Linked DNA regions of Arabidopsis thaliana. The protein of the gene in region 2 purifies or fractionates together with the protein of the main gene of each other region. This does not show direct contact. Each region holds a gene or a part of one and is shown on either strand. Other genes may lie near its edges. The genes, in order: PGM2, ASP2 and MSD1.

The links.
Region 1: the proteins of ASP2 (region 2) and PGM2 fractionate together in Arabidopsis thaliana (co-fractionation; one large-scale study listed by BioGRID). This does not show direct contact.
Region 3: the proteins of ASP2 (region 2) and MSD1 fractionate together in Arabidopsis thaliana (co-fractionation; one large-scale study listed by BioGRID). This does not show direct contact.

Annotation. Positions count from the first base shown.
Region 1 is NC_003070.9:26,667,800-26,674,939, forward strand, and holds PGM2 (Phosphoglucomutase/phosphomannomutase family protein), read right to left. Parts: upstream 5,368-7,140; coding exon 5,293-5,367; intron 5,084-5,292; coding exon 4,847-5,083; intron 4,627-4,846; coding exon 4,545-4,626; intron 4,450-4,544; coding exon 4,394-4,449; intron 4,241-4,393; coding exon 4,127-4,240; intron 4,008-4,126; coding exon 3,945-4,007; intron 3,799-3,944; coding exon 3,679-3,798; intron 3,577-3,678; coding exon 3,476-3,576; intron 3,347-3,475; coding exon 3,287-3,346; intron 3,185-3,286; coding exon 3,085-3,184; intron 2,959-3,084; coding exon 2,798-2,958; intron 2,704-2,797; coding exon 2,608-2,703; intron 2,470-2,607; coding exon 2,406-2,469; intron 2,319-2,405; coding exon 2,237-2,318; intron 2,158-2,236; coding exon 1,979-2,157; intron 1,891-1,978; coding exon 1,814-1,890; intron 1,731-1,813; coding exon 1,598-1,730; intron 1,506-1,597; coding exon 1,389-1,505; intron 1,293-1,388; coding exon 1,221-1,292; 3' UTR 847-1,220; downstream 1-846. Other genes in the region: AT1G70740 (Protein kinase superfamily protein), read right to left, coding at 6,048-6,494, 6,576-6,762, 6,899-7,133. UniProt on the Arabidopsis thaliana protein: Catalyzes the reversible isomerization of alpha-D-glucose 1-phosphate to alpha-D-glucose 6-phosphate. The mechanism proceeds via the intermediate compound alpha-D-glucose 1,6-bisphosphate.
Region 2 is NC_003076.8:6,595,645-6,602,552, reverse strand, and holds ASP2 (aspartate aminotransferase 2), read right to left. Parts: upstream 4,583-6,908; 5' UTR 4,353-4,582; coding exon 4,299-4,352; intron 3,957-4,298; coding exon 3,885-3,956; intron 3,771-3,884; coding exon 3,709-3,770; intron 3,615-3,708; coding exon 3,531-3,614; intron 3,406-3,530; coding exon 3,306-3,405; intron 3,211-3,305; coding exon 3,090-3,210; intron 2,815-3,089; coding exon 2,651-2,814; intron 2,508-2,650; coding exon 2,370-2,507; intron 2,233-2,369; coding exon 2,111-2,232; intron 1,748-2,110; coding exon 1,653-1,747; intron 1,539-1,652; coding exon 1,418-1,538; intron 1,041-1,417; coding exon 956-1,040; 3' UTR 582-955; downstream 1-581. Other genes in the region: AT5G19540 (thermosome subunit gamma), read right to left, coding at 4,829-5,273, 5,497-5,783, 5,950-6,220, 6,331-6,368, 6,458-6,805.
Region 3 is NC_003074.8:3,416,097-3,420,562, reverse strand, and holds MSD1 (manganese superoxide dismutase 1), read right to left. Parts: upstream 2,624-4,466; 5' UTR 2,549-2,623; coding exon 2,254-2,548; intron 1,776-2,253; coding exon 1,729-1,775; intron 1,649-1,728; coding exon 1,523-1,648; intron 1,412-1,522; coding exon 1,355-1,411; intron 1,236-1,354; coding exon 1,158-1,235; intron 1,075-1,157; coding exon 982-1,074; 3' UTR 671-981; downstream 1-670. Other genes in the region: AT3G10930 (uncharacterized protein), read left to right, coding at 30-335; AT3G10915 (Reticulon family protein), read left to right, coding at 2,859-2,974, 3,107-3,186, 3,527-3,707, 3,804-3,945, 4,049-4,118, 4,296-4,462. UniProt on the Arabidopsis thaliana protein: Destroys superoxide anion radicals which are normally produced within the cells and which are toxic to biological systems.

The DNA.
Region 1 (7,140 bases), on a different chromosome or scaffold from region 2:
TCAAGATATCATATATTTCGGTTGACGCTCTATCACTATCCAATTATAATTTAAAGATAAATATATATATATATATATATATATATATATAAAATTTAAAGATGAGATAAACGAGGGAAGTACAATAATCAATAATACACTATTTTAAAGTCTTGTAATCATATATGTACATTGTAGTTTTTTTTTACAAGTATGAACTAATACGGACAAAAGAGCCAACTCAATCAATCTTTTTGTATTTGTAACTGTGATACCATAAAGAACACTGCTAAAGAGTAAAGTCTATCAACAATTTACTATAGTTACATGAATCAATTACGTGAAAAGACTTATTTTGATTAATTAAGCATTTCTGCATAAGAAAATGCTAATATTAAGCCTTTTGATTTTTTAATATTTTTCTTCGAGGATTCTATAATCAGTTGTGATTTCACCTAAAGTTAGACAATACTATACATAAAATCATTCTAATTTTTTTTATACTTAAATGCTGATCTTTTTATACGAGCTAACTCTATACTTTGACTATAGAAGCAAGAGAAATAGACAAATGTATAGCAAATAGCTAACCATCAACTGTATGTTACAATGTTGATGGTTAGCTAAAGCATCAGTCATTGTTGAGACAAAAGTTTAGTAGAAGACAACAAATATGGAGAAAGGACAGAGGAAGAAAGCCTAAAGTGGGAGGAGTGTTTGGATGGTAATGATGCCTCTCTTTCTTTTGGATTTAAAAACCAAATAAGAAAGAACCCGTGAACCCTGACTCACTTATACAAACTAACACATGGCACAATCTGATTCACGAAATTCATGCCCAACATTAGCTTTTAACTGTCAGAATGTTTTTGTTGGTCAAGCTCAAGAGACAAATTATAAACATCTGTCTTCTGGCTTGTCATCACCACCTCTCGGGTCCATTATCTATAGTTGTACACCGTAGGTTTTAGGTATCAGTTATTGTTGGATTCGCTTTTTACTCTTGCTACGTCTCCATCTGCCACACATGCTCCAATATTGTGGCAATTCTTTTTTATTTGGAGGAGCCAAACAAAGCTAGAAATTCAATTGCCAACCTAATGTATATTCCATTAAAATTATATGTATTGAAGTATACTTGTGTAAGATAACAGATAACAGGAAAAAAGCAAAACCCAAATTCATAAGAAATGAAGTTGGAATGAGAGTAGTATTGGAGACAGCGTCTTCTGAAAGCTGTCTTATGTAATAACAGTTGGTGATGATCGGCCGGTGAACTCTTGCATTTTCGACAGCTTTAATGCAACATCAACCTGTGAAAATCAGACACCAACAATTGGTGTTAATAAACATGACAAAGATCGATTATGCGTAAATTTGGGAGTAATTAAGGTATCTGGGAATCTGACCAGGGGACCAAGAGCATCCTGAGAATCTCGGCCGATCTTTGAGGCGTCCTTCTCGTATTGTTCAATGTATAGCCTTATTGTTGCTCCTTCTGAGCCAGTTCCCGAGAGACGGAACACCTTCATGAACAAGAGAAACAAGCCCGGATTAGCTTTTACAATTTCACAGGTTGTTGAATTGTTATGAATCCATTTCACACATATCGACTTACAAGTCGTGATCCATCCTCGAATAAGTATCGGATCCCTTGGTGCTTTGAAACAGAGCCATCTACTGGATCTTTGTACTCGAACTCATCTGCGCTTGCAACATTTGCCACCTCTGGATGAATTCCCTTTATAATCCTGACCAATTATCCAAAAACGTGAGTCTGAAAGTCATACAAGTAAAAAGGAATGGATTTGAAATTAAGTGGAGAGAGAGATACTTGTTGACTTCGGGAAGTGAAGATTGCAACTTAACCAAAAGTCCCATGAGTTCTTTAGCTGCAGTTGCGTCTACGTTCTATGGAGCAAATATTTAGAAATTGGTCAAAGGTAATTGGTTATTCTACATATTGTCTACAACCAATAATGACATTTGTCAGTTTTACCTCATAGTCGTATCGAGTGTAATAGTGACGGCCATATGTAGCCCAGTGCTGGCGGACAATGTCTTCAACCGTCACCAGTTTTGCATTCCCATCAAGGGTTTCCTTGTTCTTGTGAGCCAGTATTGATAGCCAAGCAAGAACTGCCCAGATCCCATCTTTCTCACGGATATGATCCGAACCTGTCGAAAAGCTTCTTTGTGAGTTGTGTAGGGTTGTTACGGTTTTAAAACATGTGAAGATCTAGCAATAGAAGCTCACCGGTTCCAAAACTTTCTTCTCCGCATACAGAGCACATCCCAGCATCCATTAGATTGCCAAAGAATTTCCAGCCTGTTGGAACCTAAAATATAGAAGTATTAGAGCAATAGACTATGTTACGTGATTGCAATGAATAGAAGCTAGAGAAAAGCTTCACAATGACATCTACCTCAAAGAACTTCAAACCCAAGTTTTTTGCAACGACATCAAGTGCAGCTGAGGTCGGCATGCTCCTGCAATACGAATGTGAAAGTTGAGAATTTAATGAGAAAAGATTGTTACTATCTATAATAAACAAAAACGTATGACACCAAAGTCCAGCGTTTTCAATCTATGAACTGGAGTAAACAAAGAAGAACCGGGATGCATACCTAGCAACACCTTTTAAACCAGAGCTGAAGTATGGTATGGCCCCAACAGCATTTGCAGCAATTATAGCAACTGAATCCGAAGGAGTTACGAAAAACCTGCGGAGAAGAGATATTTTTGGTTAACGGGGAGAGTGGTATATCCGCTCCACATCTCTGTGATCTCACTTAAAAGAGAATTAGTCTCTGCTACCTTTTACCGAGGATCATGTTTCGGTCTGCATCACCATCAGCAGCGGCGCCAAACTCTGGAGGCTCGCCACCAGCATCATCAGTTTTACTCAATCCCATGCGTGCCACGAGCTCCTTAGCATAGGTAAGATTGGGATCCGGGTGGCCCCCTCCAAAGTCCTCCTGTACATTGTCCGATTGTCGTGTTGTTATAAATCATAAAAGACACTGTTCAACGTGTATTTATAATCCTTTCAGGAAATGATATTTCTTGGTTATACAAAATAAGAAAGAAGAAAAAAATGATACCTTGGGTACGCAGTTCAACAACGAACTTTCTGGTGCACCTAGTTCTTCGACAAAGATGCGATGTGCATATGCTCCAGCCACTCCATGCAATGCATCATAGCTTCATAGAACGATGGGAAATAAAATATCAAAGACATGATGGAGCCTATACAAGCAAACAAACTCAAAAGAAAAGATTTATGGATGTTGATGAACTATATACCAGAAAGTAAATTTTGGATAAGATAGCAATTTCTTGATGGATTCAAAGTCGAAGATTGACCTGAAGAGACGAACAAATCTTTTAGATCATCGATACCGCAGATTCTGGAACCATTCTCTTAAATGCATAGACCATAGAGGGAGTAGATTCAAGAACTGTTCTCTCAGATACAAAGATGGAAAGACTTACTTCATTAGTTTAACATAGTCATCTGCAGAATCAAAAACTTCGACGTCAAACTTTCCTTCAGGTCCTTCAAAGCTGGTTATACCAATAGTAGAAATATCAACCTGTTGCATTCAATCAAAAAGACCAGCAAAAAAACATGATTAGTACAAATACAAGATGAAAAAAAGATGATGACAGGTAATAAGATCAGAAATGTTAGGTACCCTGGGTAGATCTTCCGCTATTGGGTACTCCTTGATTGTCTTTGTGTTCTCGTAAATCTTATCAGTGATTGATTCAGGAGCTGGTCCACCATTTTCCATATTGTACTTAATTCCGAAATCCTGTGAATAGAATAGCAGGAAATCAGCATATGGAAGCAGAGAGATGAACATATAGTTTAACAAAACTGATGCTAGGATTCAAATAATACTAAGTGAGGGTATCGAATGAACAAGCACAAAAGAGTGAGAACAAAAAGAGAACTGACCTCAGTTGGGCCACCAGGATTATGACTTGCTGTTAAGATAAATGCTCCTGTGGCTTTAGATCCCTGAAATTGGATCTCGGGTTAGTTTCTCATCACGTCATTACATGTTGCAAACATGCATAGCCTTAGATAACAACCCAAGAGAAAAGTAAGTAGTATGAGTTTAGAGGAAGATATCTCACATCAGCCCCTACTCTTTCACGAATAATAGCTGATACTGCAGGAGTTGATAGCAGACTGTTTTGACCAACCCACACACGTCTAACACCATTAGCTGCTGCCATCTTTACTATAATCTGTCCAGATAGGAAATAAAGTGGTATTGACGAACTATCTTTTTTATGAAATAAAAGATTCAAAACAACTAAAATAAGAGTAAAGTGTCTAAGAATTATAAGTTAATGCAAAACGCAGTTTGCCATCATTCAAAGGACATATAAAGCTTTTACCTGAATAGCTTGCTCTGAATAATAACGACCATCACCAGAAACCACAAGTGTCGCACCTGAAAAAGTTAACAAATACTCTTTCTTAGATGGAATTTGCAATCATCGACCTTTACCTGAACAACAATCAAAGAGAGGTAAGAGAGATCTTTACCTTTAACTTTCTCTGTAGTAAGAGCATTGAACGTTGCCTGGACAAAATTTTCAAGGTAATTTGGTTGCTTAAACACTTTCACCTGTAAAATTACGAAACAATGCGTAAATTCAAATCTCATCGGATCGGATCAAATTGTTAAAACCAACACACAAAATTCATTCAATCCATAAGATCGGAACTAAATGAAGAAATCAATTTCGTTGCGAAGATCTGAATTTAGAATTCAAATCTCTAATCCAATTTCGAAATAAGAACGCGGGGATTGATATAACAAGGAGAAGAAGCGAAAGCGAACGAACCTTCTTACGGAGTCCAGAAGTCCCAGGTTTCTGGCCATCAATAGGCGAAGTAGAGACGAGAGAGACCTTGAACGACACCATTTCAAATCTGAAGAAAATCGAATAAGCCTGAAGATGATAAAATAAAAGCCTTTTTACACAGTGAGTCTGAGGAAAGGAGATGAAGAGGCTAAACGAGAAGGTGACGCGTGTGGCTCGTCTCTTTTCGTTTTTTTTTTTGGTAGGATCTCTTTTCGTCTTTTAGTGGACCTAACTTTTTACCCAAAACGGGTTAGTATATATATTTTATTTTTAATTTCCAATAGAGCCGAAACGATTACAAGGCCCAACAAGCCGACAGAGGCACGAATGGCCCAAAGAACATACATGGCAATAACTGCCTAAAAGGACACGCAGGCCCTAGAACTAGAACCTAAATAAAACAACGAGGCCCAACCGGGCATTACCCCAAAAATGAAAAGAGAAACTTTAACTGAAGAACCTGAATCAGGTAGAAAGCAAGAAGTAACCAAGAGGAACATTAAAGCAAGAAGTAACCAAGAGGAACATTACGTTGATGTCTCTGATGATTAACACTGACGGTCTGTGATTCTTTGGCGAAGTTCACCTCTAGAGTGAACCAATTTGATTCACCCCCTTTTTAATGACAAATCAAAATACAACATTATGACATGTCATACTTTATTTAAAAATAAATGAAAACTAAAATTTGAAAAAAAAAATTAAAGAAACAAAATCTGTATATTTTAAATTAAAGAAAGTTAAATATATGTTTGTGTATTTTCTCCACTAATTTCAGTTAGTATTTCTTTTACTATCAAAATAATTGTTTACAAAAACCCTTTTTATAAATTTTAACTGAAAAATAATTTAAAACGCATAAAAAACATTTTAGTTTTATGTTTTGTTTAAAGTAAGGTACCGTTAATACGTACAAGAGAATATGCTTTTATACGTACGAGGCCAATAGTGGGGACCTAGATAATGGGACTACAAGTGATTATTCTAATATACAAATGTAACAAATGAATCATAATTTTTTCCCGCTAATATAACAAATCATACTACAAAACTAAATCACTACTGCAGTCAAAAAAATAAATTAATTTACTTTTCAAAAGCAAAATTAAATAAATTATGAAACAAATATTATATATGCAGCTCGCTATTTACAATCACCTATGACCAGATTTTATGTACTTCAATAACTCATATGTCGTTTCCCGTGAGGGTCTGAGCTAGAGCTCTGACCAGCACTTCTAGTGGCATTACTCCGAGTTGAAGCTTTAGAAGATGCGGGGGTACCTCTAACACCAGTTCCCGTGTTTGTGTTCAGGTTTGAACCGAAAGAATCTGTGCTGGAACCAGTGGTCGACAATGTTCCAAGTGATGCTGCTCCTGAAGGACGTTGTGTTCGCCGACGGTATCTAGATCCCGGGACACCAGGATGATCCGGTTCTTCTAGATGTCCTGGTTTTCTAGAGAGAAGTAGAGATACCCGTCTCATGCTCGGTCTTTGATGCGGATCGCCTTGAACGCAGAGTAGTCCGATCTGTACACAGAGTTTGACTTGATCTGGATCAGCTGAAGCTGCTATATCTTGGTCTAGTATCTCCATGGTCCGGCCTTTCTTGTACAACTTAAATGCCTGTGTCACATTCAGAAAGAATTTAGCATTGGTTATATTACGCTGAAGAATATTGGCTGGGTCAGGCCATCACACAACAACCCTATAAACAATGGAGCATGAGACTAGAGGCTTTACCCATTCAAGAAGAGTCTGGTCAGGGTGTCTCATGCTAAAACTCGAGTTCTTCTGTCCACTTACGAGCTCCAGAACCAAAACCCCAAAGCTGAATACGTCTGCCTTTACCGATAGAACCCCGTGCATTACGTACTCTGGCGCCATATAACCACTGCGCATAAGAAAAGAAGAAGCAATGGACGTTAAATAACATTCTACCATGAAACACCAACAAACAAAAAGAGTTCAAATGACACAAGAAGATATGTAAATGAGCTTTTTAAGGGTAAACAATAGAGAGAGCATACTTGGTTCCTGCAACACGAGTGTTGACATGTGTTACATCTTCCTGATAGAGTCTAGCCATCCCAAAATCTGCAATCTTAGGAACCCATTTTTCATCCAGCAAAATATTGCCAGCCTTAATATCCCTGTGGATGATGCAGTTTGGCGCGTCTTCATGTAGATAGAGCAGTCCTCGAGCAATGCCTGTTATGATCTCAAACCTCTGCTTCCAATCTATCTCCGATTTTCTGTTGGATTCTGCATT
Region 2 (6,908 bases):
CGTTATTGTTTAAGCCTGATCTCGAATTAAGTAAGACTATGGATCAAATATAGCTGGAATTTACAAACTTAATAACTTAAAAAGAGAGACAATCGAATTTTAAAATCAGATTTTGACTAATTCGTTAGTGCAACAGTAGCATGGAGGCATGTAACACGGCGACTCTTTACCAAGTCTAAACATTTCTGTTTATCCTACTAATTTAAAAGATTTGATTTCAATATCTTATAATACTGCTTTAATCGTTTAATCACGTCGTGTAATTTATCACTTTGAAAAGTGGTGTTTATGACCATTTTCTCATCCACTCACTGATGTATAAATATTGCATTGACATTTTTTTTTATCAAGCGGCTTAAACAAATGAGTCTACCTATAAATGGACACATTGAAACAAGTTTTCATTAAAGAAACAAAAGAAAACTAATTAAATACAAAAAACCATATAACCTCATTCCGTTTTACATTTTCTTATCTTTCATGTTCACTATATGTCCCTTACAATTCCAAACGATCGATTGCTTCATTTGAAAATTATGTTTATGTGATATTTTAAGAGATGGACCAATTAGAGAGTATTCCGACAAGTATTTTTTTTTCTAATACAAATCATACTTCTTCTTAGGTGTGCCAAACTTCCCAAAACTTATTTTTTTCCAGCGAGAACCAAACTATAAGGATCTCTCAGCAAATAAAATAACAGGACATTTGAAAATTCTGCAAAATAACAATTGTTGGTGGCAAATTAAAGTAACCAATATTTTCTTAGAAACGGTAGATCTCAATGTCACAATCCTCACTTTGGTTTTGGTTCAACCATCTTTAGTCAAAAGACATGAGGAAACATATGGTACCATCAGAAAAAAACCATAGTATATAAGCCAACAAAAACGGTGTTCTTTTTTTTTGTCCCATTTTATTTGTAGAAACAGCAAAAAAATGTATGGTCGCTAGTTTAGCCGAGGCGGGTCACTGCAGCATGCATAGCATCGGCAAGGTGAGGCACTGTCTTCGAACTTAGACCTGCCATGCTTATTCTCCTGCAATACAACAAAGTAACCCTTTTTCAATTTGAAGCTCAGAAAACTTACAAATCTGGTATTTTCTAATATCCTTTGCTTCATGCAACTATAATTTCACTAGCAAGAATATGATGTCATATCTCACTTTCTCAAAATATCAAAGCAACTATCTTGGTTCACATGCCTAAGAAGAACATAATGAAACCTGTGGATCTAGTTCTATATATATCTGGTTATTACTGCTAATACTCTTACAACTAAGAGAGTTTGGCGAAAGTATTTTAGGACCTCTTAGAAATACTTCATGTCATATATACTTATGGTTTTAGGCATAGCAGAAACCAAACTCACTCATATTCCTAAAATTATCGAAAAGAAAATATAAGTTGACTCACCCATCAGAGGTCATGTAAATGTGGAACTCTTTGGTCATGAATTCAACTTGCTCCTTGTTCAATCCAGTAAATGTAAACATCCCAATCTGTTTGATAATATGACTCCAGTCACCAGGTGTACCTGCAATCCAGACAACGTGTCAAGAACAAAAAACTGCAGAGTAATGATTCTGCAAACATGGAAAAGAAGATAAACAGAGTGAAAAATAAGAGAGGAAAGGAATTAATAATAAACCTCTAGCTTGTATAGCTTCAAATAACTGTTGGCGCATGCTCTTTATACGGTCAGCCATTTCTTTCAGCTCGATGGTCCAGTTGTTGTACATATCACTGCCAATATATACAAAGAAATTTTAGAAACTTAGAGCAGAACCTAATTCCATAGATATTCATTATAAGCTTGATAAAGCAAAGGAAAATGTTTGTGATATATGCATGATTCCATAGAAAAAGAAACTTGGCATAACCATTTCAACACAGCATAAACTATCAAATTACTGCGTATGGAAGATCAGTAGGGATCTCTCTTTCCACTTGCCTATTAATTTTTAATGTCAGCTTTCAATGTATACATATATCTTGTATGTAATAATCTAAAAATGTAATTTTACTATACTAACTCCGGTTTAAAGGTTCCTTCTCCAACATAATATATTCAAAGTAATTGTAAACTAAAGCATGATAATCATGTACCTGCTTTTTAGAATGGTGGCAACAATTGATGCTCCATGAATAGGGGGGCTCGAATACATGGGCCGCACAACAAGCTTCACCTGGCTCTCAACCTTACTAGCCACATCTGCTGACTTGCAGACCTTCACATTATATCACACAGATTAGATGCAATTTTTGAATACTGTATTCTTGTACTATCCATTAGATGAACTTTTTGACTAACCATAATGTCAAATGAATAGAAGCGAATAAGAAATTGAGAAGTTTGGTTCCTTACAATGCTAAGGGCACCAACACGCTCCCCATAAAGTCCCATATTTTTGGCGTAACTTTGAGCTATCAAGCATTCACCGCCATCAGCAACAAATGTACGGACAGATTGTGCATCTGTGTCAAGGCTACCACTAGCAAAACCCTGCAAAAGTGTTAGGAAAAATGAGTCAGGCTGCTATTTTTCTACATTAGATAAGATTCAAGCATACACTATAACGGGGTTCATTTGTTTGTAAACCACCATTGAATAAAGCAACAAAGCAAGACTTCCTTTATGAGTGCTACCTGATATGCACTATCAAAAAAGGGTAATAAGCTTTTAGATCTCATCAGCTGTCGAATCTGTTCCCACTGTTCAGAGGTTGGGTCAACTCCAGTGGGATTGTGTGCACATGCATGAAGTAAGACAATAGCTCCAGATGGTGCAGCGCCAAGATCCTCGAGCAAGCCTGTTTTTTTGGCATCAAAGGTCAATGTTTGTATCAAATGCCATTTTACTTTGACAGAGTGCAATCTTGAGATTTCTTTCCTTACTCAAATTTCAAACATAGAATTGTCAAAATACGATCATTAAACTTACAGAAATAATTTCATTGTGGTTATATCAAGGAAAACACAGGAAAAGTAGAGTAGATGGATAATCAAGCAATAACCATGACTAAATTAATGTCAGTGCAACCACATGAAGATGAAAACAAAAATTAATGGAAAGTTAAGAATCAACCTTTGAAGTCAAGACCACGGGTTGCAGGATCATAGTAGCGGAAATACTCCACAGACAAGCCTGCCAAGTTGAAAACTTTGGGATGGTTCCCCCAAGTTGGTTTTGGAATGTAAATGACACTCTGGAAGGATGAGAACCATAGTAAGCAACACTTGTTTGATTACATAATTCAATGACTGTCAAATATAATAAAAAACTAAATAGAGAGAAGTTTACTTGGTGGTAGTGTGTTTTGAGAAACTCAGCCCCAACTCTCAACGAACCAGTACCAGACAAGCACTGGACTGTAGTAACTCTACTTTCTGTAATCGCAGGACTGCCAACAAAACAAGAATATTTATAAAATATTAAACTTTATCAACTAAAGGGGATATTATGTCACAAGAGAAACAAAGCAAAACACAAATGAAAAGATAACAAATAAACAGTATAGATGATTACCTGTCAGCACCTAAGATGAGCTTGGCGCTTAACTTGTTAAAATCGGAAATACCAACAATGGGAATGTATTCCTTGACCCGAGACCTTAGAGAAGTAGAGAAAAGAATTTAGGCATTAGCAAAAAACAAGAATAAGAAGAGACAACTACACGAATTAGTGACAATGTTCTTCAACTCACGGATCGTTCACTAGCTGTTGCTCTGCCTTACGCACCACATCAAGAACAAGAGGCTTCCCTTCCTTTGAAAAAAAGAGAAACAAACTAATCAAAACCTGAGCTTTCAAAAACTGGCTAGTAGAAACAATTGATACCATAAAGTTGCTTAACAGTTTAAGCAGAAATCGAAAAATTACCTCAGTTCGGTAGGCACCGACACCCAAATTGATCTTAACAGGACTAGGATCATTGTTGTAAGCAACAGTTACCTGTTTTCAACAAATCATTAACTCTCAAAAACGTTACTAAAAACTAATAATCAAATCATTGATCACACAGACTAATAATATTCACTGTGCCAGTAGATCATCGAGAGTCATATGTCTTCTAATTCCCAGTAGCCAAATAAGAATCATATCCAAATCGAGTAAAACACAGAGAAATCAAATCCCAACTCTCTCCGATCAGACGGAAAAAAAGTAGAGACGCACTAAAATCAGATATAACCGTCATGATTTCGGATAACCGAGTGAGATCGAAGCAAAGACGGAATAAAAAATCAACTAAAACGCGAAAAAAGTAAGAGGAGATCAAACAGAGAAGCGACATACACCGAGAATAGGATCTTCGGGAGCACGAGCAACGTTAGAGAAGACGGAATCCATGACGAGACAAGGGATTGAAATTGCAGACAATGGATCTTGAAGAAGCAGAGGAGGAATAAGTTAAAAGAGAAGTCGTCTTTTTAATCTTGTTCACAAAGAGAGAGAGGTTTTGAGAATCAACTTTTAGCTGTGGGCGCCTATATTGCGATTTGGCAACTGTGGGCGATGCTTGAACTTGCCCAACAAGTCGAGAAATTTTATTTACATTTTTTTTTTATACGAGAAATATTCCAATTCCTTTTTTCTTTGTCTGACTTCTTTTTTTTTTTTTGTCGTTTTTCTTTGTCTGAATTCTAATTTCCATTTATTAAGTAATTTTTTTTTCTTCATAAAAACATTATCATCAAACCAAAAACAACTAGAGTTACCTATTCAATAGATTTCTTTGACATCAGAGCCATGTTTGCTTTACAACAGAGAGACTTGGGACACTGTAAAAGGTATTTGACACTGTTTGTACATGATTCTGTGCTGCGTCATACAATTTTTGTATTATCTATAAACTGGTATAACTCTGCACCTATCTGGGTAGCCCAGTCAATTGTCGAACCAAAGAAGAGCTCCCAAAAGCAGAGATCCAGTGCAAGTACAGATGAAAATATTAGCAATGCCAATGTTTGGTACCGGTTTAGTGGCCAACGCAAAGCCTCTGCCATTTTCCTCAGAATCGGATATGAACTAGTCTCCAAGTCCGTTGGATTTCTGATGGACCAAGCTGTTACCCATCTTACCTCTGAAGGAACAAGATCAAACTCTTCTCTCAGTCGTCTTCCCAGGTCGGGCATGTGGCCTCCGCCATATAGAATTCCAATTCTCTTGTGTCCTTGCTCTATTGCTCTTCTTAAAGCTTCCGTAGCTGCTCGGTTTCTCTCACCAATGATGACAGATTTTTCCTCTATATCTGATGTCTCTAGTGTTAGCCTTCACAACAACAACAAAAAATAATAGAATAGTTAACTTCCTACTAGCCTTACATATATTTGCATGTTCTAAGAAAATAAGAAAAAAACTACTCTGCCTTGCCCTATCTTTGAAGCACATACACAATTCAAATGGTAAGAAATGTGTCAAGTAGAGCACATATCCCAAGTTTAGATCAGCAAAAGAAAAACAACTTCAGAATCATGAACAAGACCGGACTTACTCGGATGTCAATCTCTTAGCAAGGAAAACCTTCATAGCAGCTCCAAAGTCAAGCCGTGAAAGTGCTTCTAATTCTGGATAGTCTGAGGTCTGATCTCCAAAGTCAGCACAAAAAGCCCCGATTAGGAAAAGACCCACAAGAGGCATAGGAAAAACCCGTGAAACCCATAGAAGCTTTGACCTCCAAGTATCACGACCTTCAGTTACCAAAGCTGGCTGTATCATTGCTTTTGTTGATCTAATAGTCATGTCCCTGGCAAATGAGAAGAAGCTTTCTCCTTTCTCCTTCTGCAACAAATATGATACAGGTTTAATCATCATTCAACTGATAGTTCTCACTCCCAAATAATACAACCATGATACAGGCCAATGCGGAAACCAAAGAATATTACTCAAAAATGACAGAGAACAAGCAACAACTAAAGACAGGCACTTCTGTTCTTTGGAAACAAACCTGAAGCAACTGGAATGTCTCGAAATCGAGATCAGCATGGTACCAATTCTCAGTATCGTAATCTAGACAATCTAGCTGAAAATCAAGTGTTAGTACTCTTGCCATCTGCCGCTGAATGAACCCAAGAATACTGAAACCTCTTGAACGAGAACTCTTGAGCCTCTTAGATGCAATAGGGTTTCTCCTGTTTTCCAAGGTCTCTTTACTAGCCACCATCTCATACAAGATAGAATCATATGGTTCAAGCTCCTTCTGAAGAGTTGTGAAGTACCTACACACCCAAACCCAATCCACATATATCACCACACAAGAAACTAATTAAAACTTAATCAAACTCACTAGTGATATAAACAAATTACGAGCAATAGAAGAAAGACTCACTCTTTATCTGCAATATGAATAGTTGAGACCAAATCCACCTGCAATATAGAGATGATGAAATCGATAAAAATGTTACCTTTATCGATTTAAATGGAAACCCAGCAAGTAACAGAGATGGTGATGTAACCTGAAGAAAAGGGTTGAGAAGAATCCAAGGGAAACGTTTCTTGTAACTCACGATTGCAGTCTGCAACTCGCTGGTACCATTTCCGGGGTCGGGACGGCGTTTGAACCGCATGTAATCAGCAATTGAATTGGATTCGAGAAAAAGGGCGGCGTCGGAAGCATCATCAGAAGGCTGATTCAGTGAGCACGAGACGAACACATTTGGACAACGGGAATTTGACTGGAACCGGTATTGAGATATGCGGAGAAGTTTCGAAGATGAGTAAAACGAAGAAGAAGAAGATCTATCGGTTGTGGAGCTGTATGAGGAACCAAATGGAGGAAGGACGGCGAATGAGCTCACCGCCATGGTTCCTCCCTCGTTTTTGTTTTACGGGATAGTTGAGATTGAGCAGAAGAAGAACTAGTGTGTGATGTGGAGAAGATATTTCGCCATTTTTCAACCAGAGGAA
Region 3 (4,466 bases), on a different chromosome or scaffold from region 2:
CGCCGGAAAGTTCGGGTCCTTGGTGTTGAATGCTCTTCCGAAAGGGAGTCGTCCGGGGTCTGGACCCAGCAAGAAAACTAACGACGTCAAGACTTAGCACTATTCTTTCTAGAGTTTTCTGTCCTAATTCTTACTTCTTTCTTTTTTTGTTCTTTAGAGATTCTTTGATTTTTCGTTTTCAAATAGAGATTATTGTAAATGTTACATGTATTACAGAAATTTACAGTAGAAGTTTAGGAAAAATGAGGATTTTATTTGGTAATGTAAGTCGAAATGATCAAGACTTAGACTATCATCTTGTATCGTTTCATCAATATTTCTTTGATAAACGTTAATCAGCTTTTTAATTTCTATGATTATGTATCAATTTTATTTAGACTAAGAAAGTCTTTTAAGTTAAACGCATAAAAGAGTCAAGGATACCATTTGAATTGACATTGTATTAGTGTTTGGGTAACTTCCAAGAAAGAGATAAAATTAAAAGATAAGAATGGGGCCAAGGCGTAAAGAATCAAAAGTTAGGCGAAATATGTATAAATTGAATTGAACGCGTTTTTTATGAGACTTGACTATGATCCATTTTCCACAACGCAGACACAAAGATAATGCATTTTTATTACACAAGTGTGTATGCATTATTTCACAAATTTCATTAATCCCAAATTTCTTCGTTATAATATTCCTGTCATATATGTGTCGAGTAGTGAAAAACGAGAAAATTAGTTATTGTTTTATTGAAATGAGGTAATTATTATACCAATAAGATTCCGTTTTGTTTTCTTCGTAGAATAAACAATAGCGCTTTCTGACAATAATAGCAAATTTTTATTCTTGAAAACTTTCATTGTAAAACAACGTACCACACAGCTGAGTTGAGCAAATCTTAAAAACCAAAGAGACACTGTAAGTTTGTTTCAGACAACCTTAAAACAAAAGCTGAGCTGGAACTGGTTCATCTCCTTATGTCATCGTGTAAACGATTCAGTTGTTTTCCTTCTCATAAACCTCGCTTGCATATTTCCAGTTGATCACTTTCCATACATTCTTCAGATACTCAGGCCTCACATTTTTGTACTGAATGAGAGAATACAGATTGATTAGAGAGCTTAATCTTTTAAGCTAACTCATGAGACTTAAGGTATCAAAAGTGTTGTTACCTGCAAGTAGTAGGCGTGCTCCCAAACATCTATACCCACCAGAGGTACCAAGCTTCCTCCTTTTGTCACTAATGGATCCTGCACCAACCGAAACAAACTCTTTTTCTTTAAAACCCATTATTCTCACAGATGTTCATGAGTACCAAGAAATCTTTTGAACATATTCAATAGCGCATTCCTGATCATGGATAAGTTACCTGATTGGCAGTTGTGTCAACAACTAGCTTCTTCAGTTCTTTGTCTAGTCCGAGCCACTGAATTAATCAACAGAAACAAGCGAATCAAGGACCATGGTTATTATACGTAAAGCACCAGAGTCGACAATGTGAGCAGATGAAATAAAAAGGTGAAACTAGACTACAGACCACCCATCCTGAGCCTTGCACTGCAGCACCCTCAGCACTCATCTTTTTCACCAGACCTTCAAGGGAGCCAAAGTGAGCGTCAATGGCACTACCAAGAGATCCTTTTGGTGGCTCTCCACCACCTTCCTGTTATACATTAAAACAAACCATCAATTACAGAACAACAAAATCGAAGAAATACACAGAAACTCAAAACACAAGCTCACACTGGAAGGAGCAAGGTTCTTCCAGAAAATCGAATGGTTGACATGACCTGCACGTTAGAAATAAAGTCGATCAATTCCCATTCTCTAGCACACAAAAAACTCAATTTATTTCCAATAGTTTCTCTGCCAATTTCTCTTCTATCAATCCAACCGGTCCGGAGCTCAAGAAGCAACAATCCTAATACCAAACTATAGTCATCAAAATTAATCAACAGCTTCAATGTTCCTAACAAAAGTTCTATACTAAATCAACTGGTTATGATCTCAAGACCCAGCAAACAAAAGTAGCTATCTAAGAAAGCTTGCATTACCGATAAAAGTTTCATTGATTCTTACAGAAGTTTCATCCCAATTCATCAAAATTACTCATCAGCTTCACTGTTCAAACCAAATTTCTCTCCTAAATCAACTACTTCATTTGCTAATATCATCCAAACACGATCTAAACACAAACCAATCGATCAAACACATAGAAATCGAGATCGTAAAAAAAAAAAAAAAAGAGAGTCAGACACACAAACACACCTCCGCCGTTGAATTTGATGGCGCTCTGCAACTTAACAACAGTGGAAGCATCTCCCTTGTTCACAGCTTGATCAAGCTGCTCAAGAGCATTATTGTAATTAGTAACATAAGCCTGGTGATGCTTCTGGTGATGAATCTGCATGATCTCTCCACTAATGGCCGGTTCCAATGCGCCATAATCGTAAGGAAGATCAGGAAGCGTAAAAGTCTGAATCCCTCTGATCCTCAATAGCCTCGATGATGTCTCCTTCAAGCCGGCTAGGGTTTTTCTACTCGCTACACAACGAATCGCCATTGTTGGAATGAAGATTTGTTTCTCCTTCTAGTGGTCGCCAAAAATGAACATGTGTATAAGTGGAGGGTTATGATAATATCACTGCCTGTCATGTATAGAGAAAAGTGACTGTTTTGACACGTAGACATGTGATTTTTATTTATGGGCCGTAATATTGGATTAGTGAGCCCAAGGCCTTAATATAATAAAGCGTAATTTTTAATATTTTGTGACGGCTAAATGTTACTTTTTTGTTTGTTCACAGGAAAAAAATAAAGAAATGAAGAAAGTTGACTAGAAACGGAGAATTTCCAAATGTTGAATTTGTTGGATGCATGTGAAAGCCAATTCTATTTGGTTCCTCCTTGATAATCCACCCAATCGCTGTCATTCTCCCATCAATCTAGCTGCTTTCACAAACCATTGTACTGAGATCGTATCTTTAAGGTAAATTTCAAATCGGAGTCGGCGAGATCGAAATAGGAACCTGGAAGTCGGAGAATTTGTGTAAATTCGGTTTTTTTTTTTTAATTCTCCGATGGATAGTTTAAGTGATATCGATGGTGATTTCGATGGAAGAAATGAAGGAGGATCGTCATCGGATTATCGATTGTTGGGTCGGCAGATTACGGTTCATCAGTTCATGGGTGGTGGCAAAGGCGAGTTCTTTTTTCCAGAATTTGTGTTTTTTCATCATTTTGGTAGTTTGTGATGAGAATTTTCTCGGATTTACAGAACAGAAAATTCAAATTGGGGATGATAGTTGGAATAGTTAGGGTTTCTGATTTTGGTTGGTTGTGAAAATCGTCATGTGTGTAAGTACATTTAGCATTTTGGGTATAGTAGAAAATGGAAAACTTGGCAGGTGAAAGTTAGGTTTAGGTTTGATTTTGAATGAGAAATTGATTGATTCAAATCTCTGGATACGCATGATGAGTTCATAGGTCCAGCAAAAAGCTACTGTTTGTGATTTTTGTATGGCTTTGTTCTTTGATGTAGCTGCTGACTTGCTCTTATGGAGGAGGCGACATCTTTCTTTGGGGGTTATCATTATATCAACTGTAGCCTGGCTTATATTCGAGTTTTCCGGGTTGCCTTTCTTATCTGTTTCTTCGGATGTCTTACTCATCGTGATCATGATATCATTCGTTCATGCCCGGGTTTCTGCTTTTAGGAATAGGTGCGCTCTACTTTTCACTAGTCTTCTTTTTCTTAATTCTTTGCTGTTATGTGACTGATTAGTGATGATTTCTACCTGTTATCTCTTTATAAGCAGACAGTTGCATTCGTTGCCAGAGCTTGTTCTATCAGAGGAAATGGTGAATAGTGCTGCAGCTTCTTTCCGTATAAAACTCAATCACTTGCTTGTAATGGCTCATGATGTCACAGTTGGCAACGATTTTCGACTCTTCTTCAAGGTTATGAAGCTAACCCATTCAGAAACTCACGATGATGTTGAGTGAAATGACATGGGAACCGTTAAGCATCTGAACTGTTGGTCTGACGATTTTTCTTTAGCAGGTGGTGATTTGTCTGTGGCTTCTCTCTGCCATTGGTAGCTATATATCTCTCTGCACTCTTCTTTACATCGGTTAGTAACTTGATCCTTAAATGCAAATGAAAGGAAAAAGCTTCTATGTTTTTTGATCCTTCAGTTTCATCCCCCACGTTGGCTTGTTGATCTCGTTTTAGTTCCTGCGACATTGTTGTTTTAAACTCAGTGAACCAAATTCTTATATGAAGTTTATACTTTTTATGGTGTGAACAGGGACCATCCTATCTGTAACAATACCGGCTTTGTACAGTAAATATCAAAGCAAAGTAGACAAGTGTTGCGGGACGATTCACAGGCGGTTGTCTCACCACTACAAAATAGTAGACGAAAATGTTATAAGCAGACTCTCATGGAGCTTATCCAAGGATAAAGATTCATGAGCTT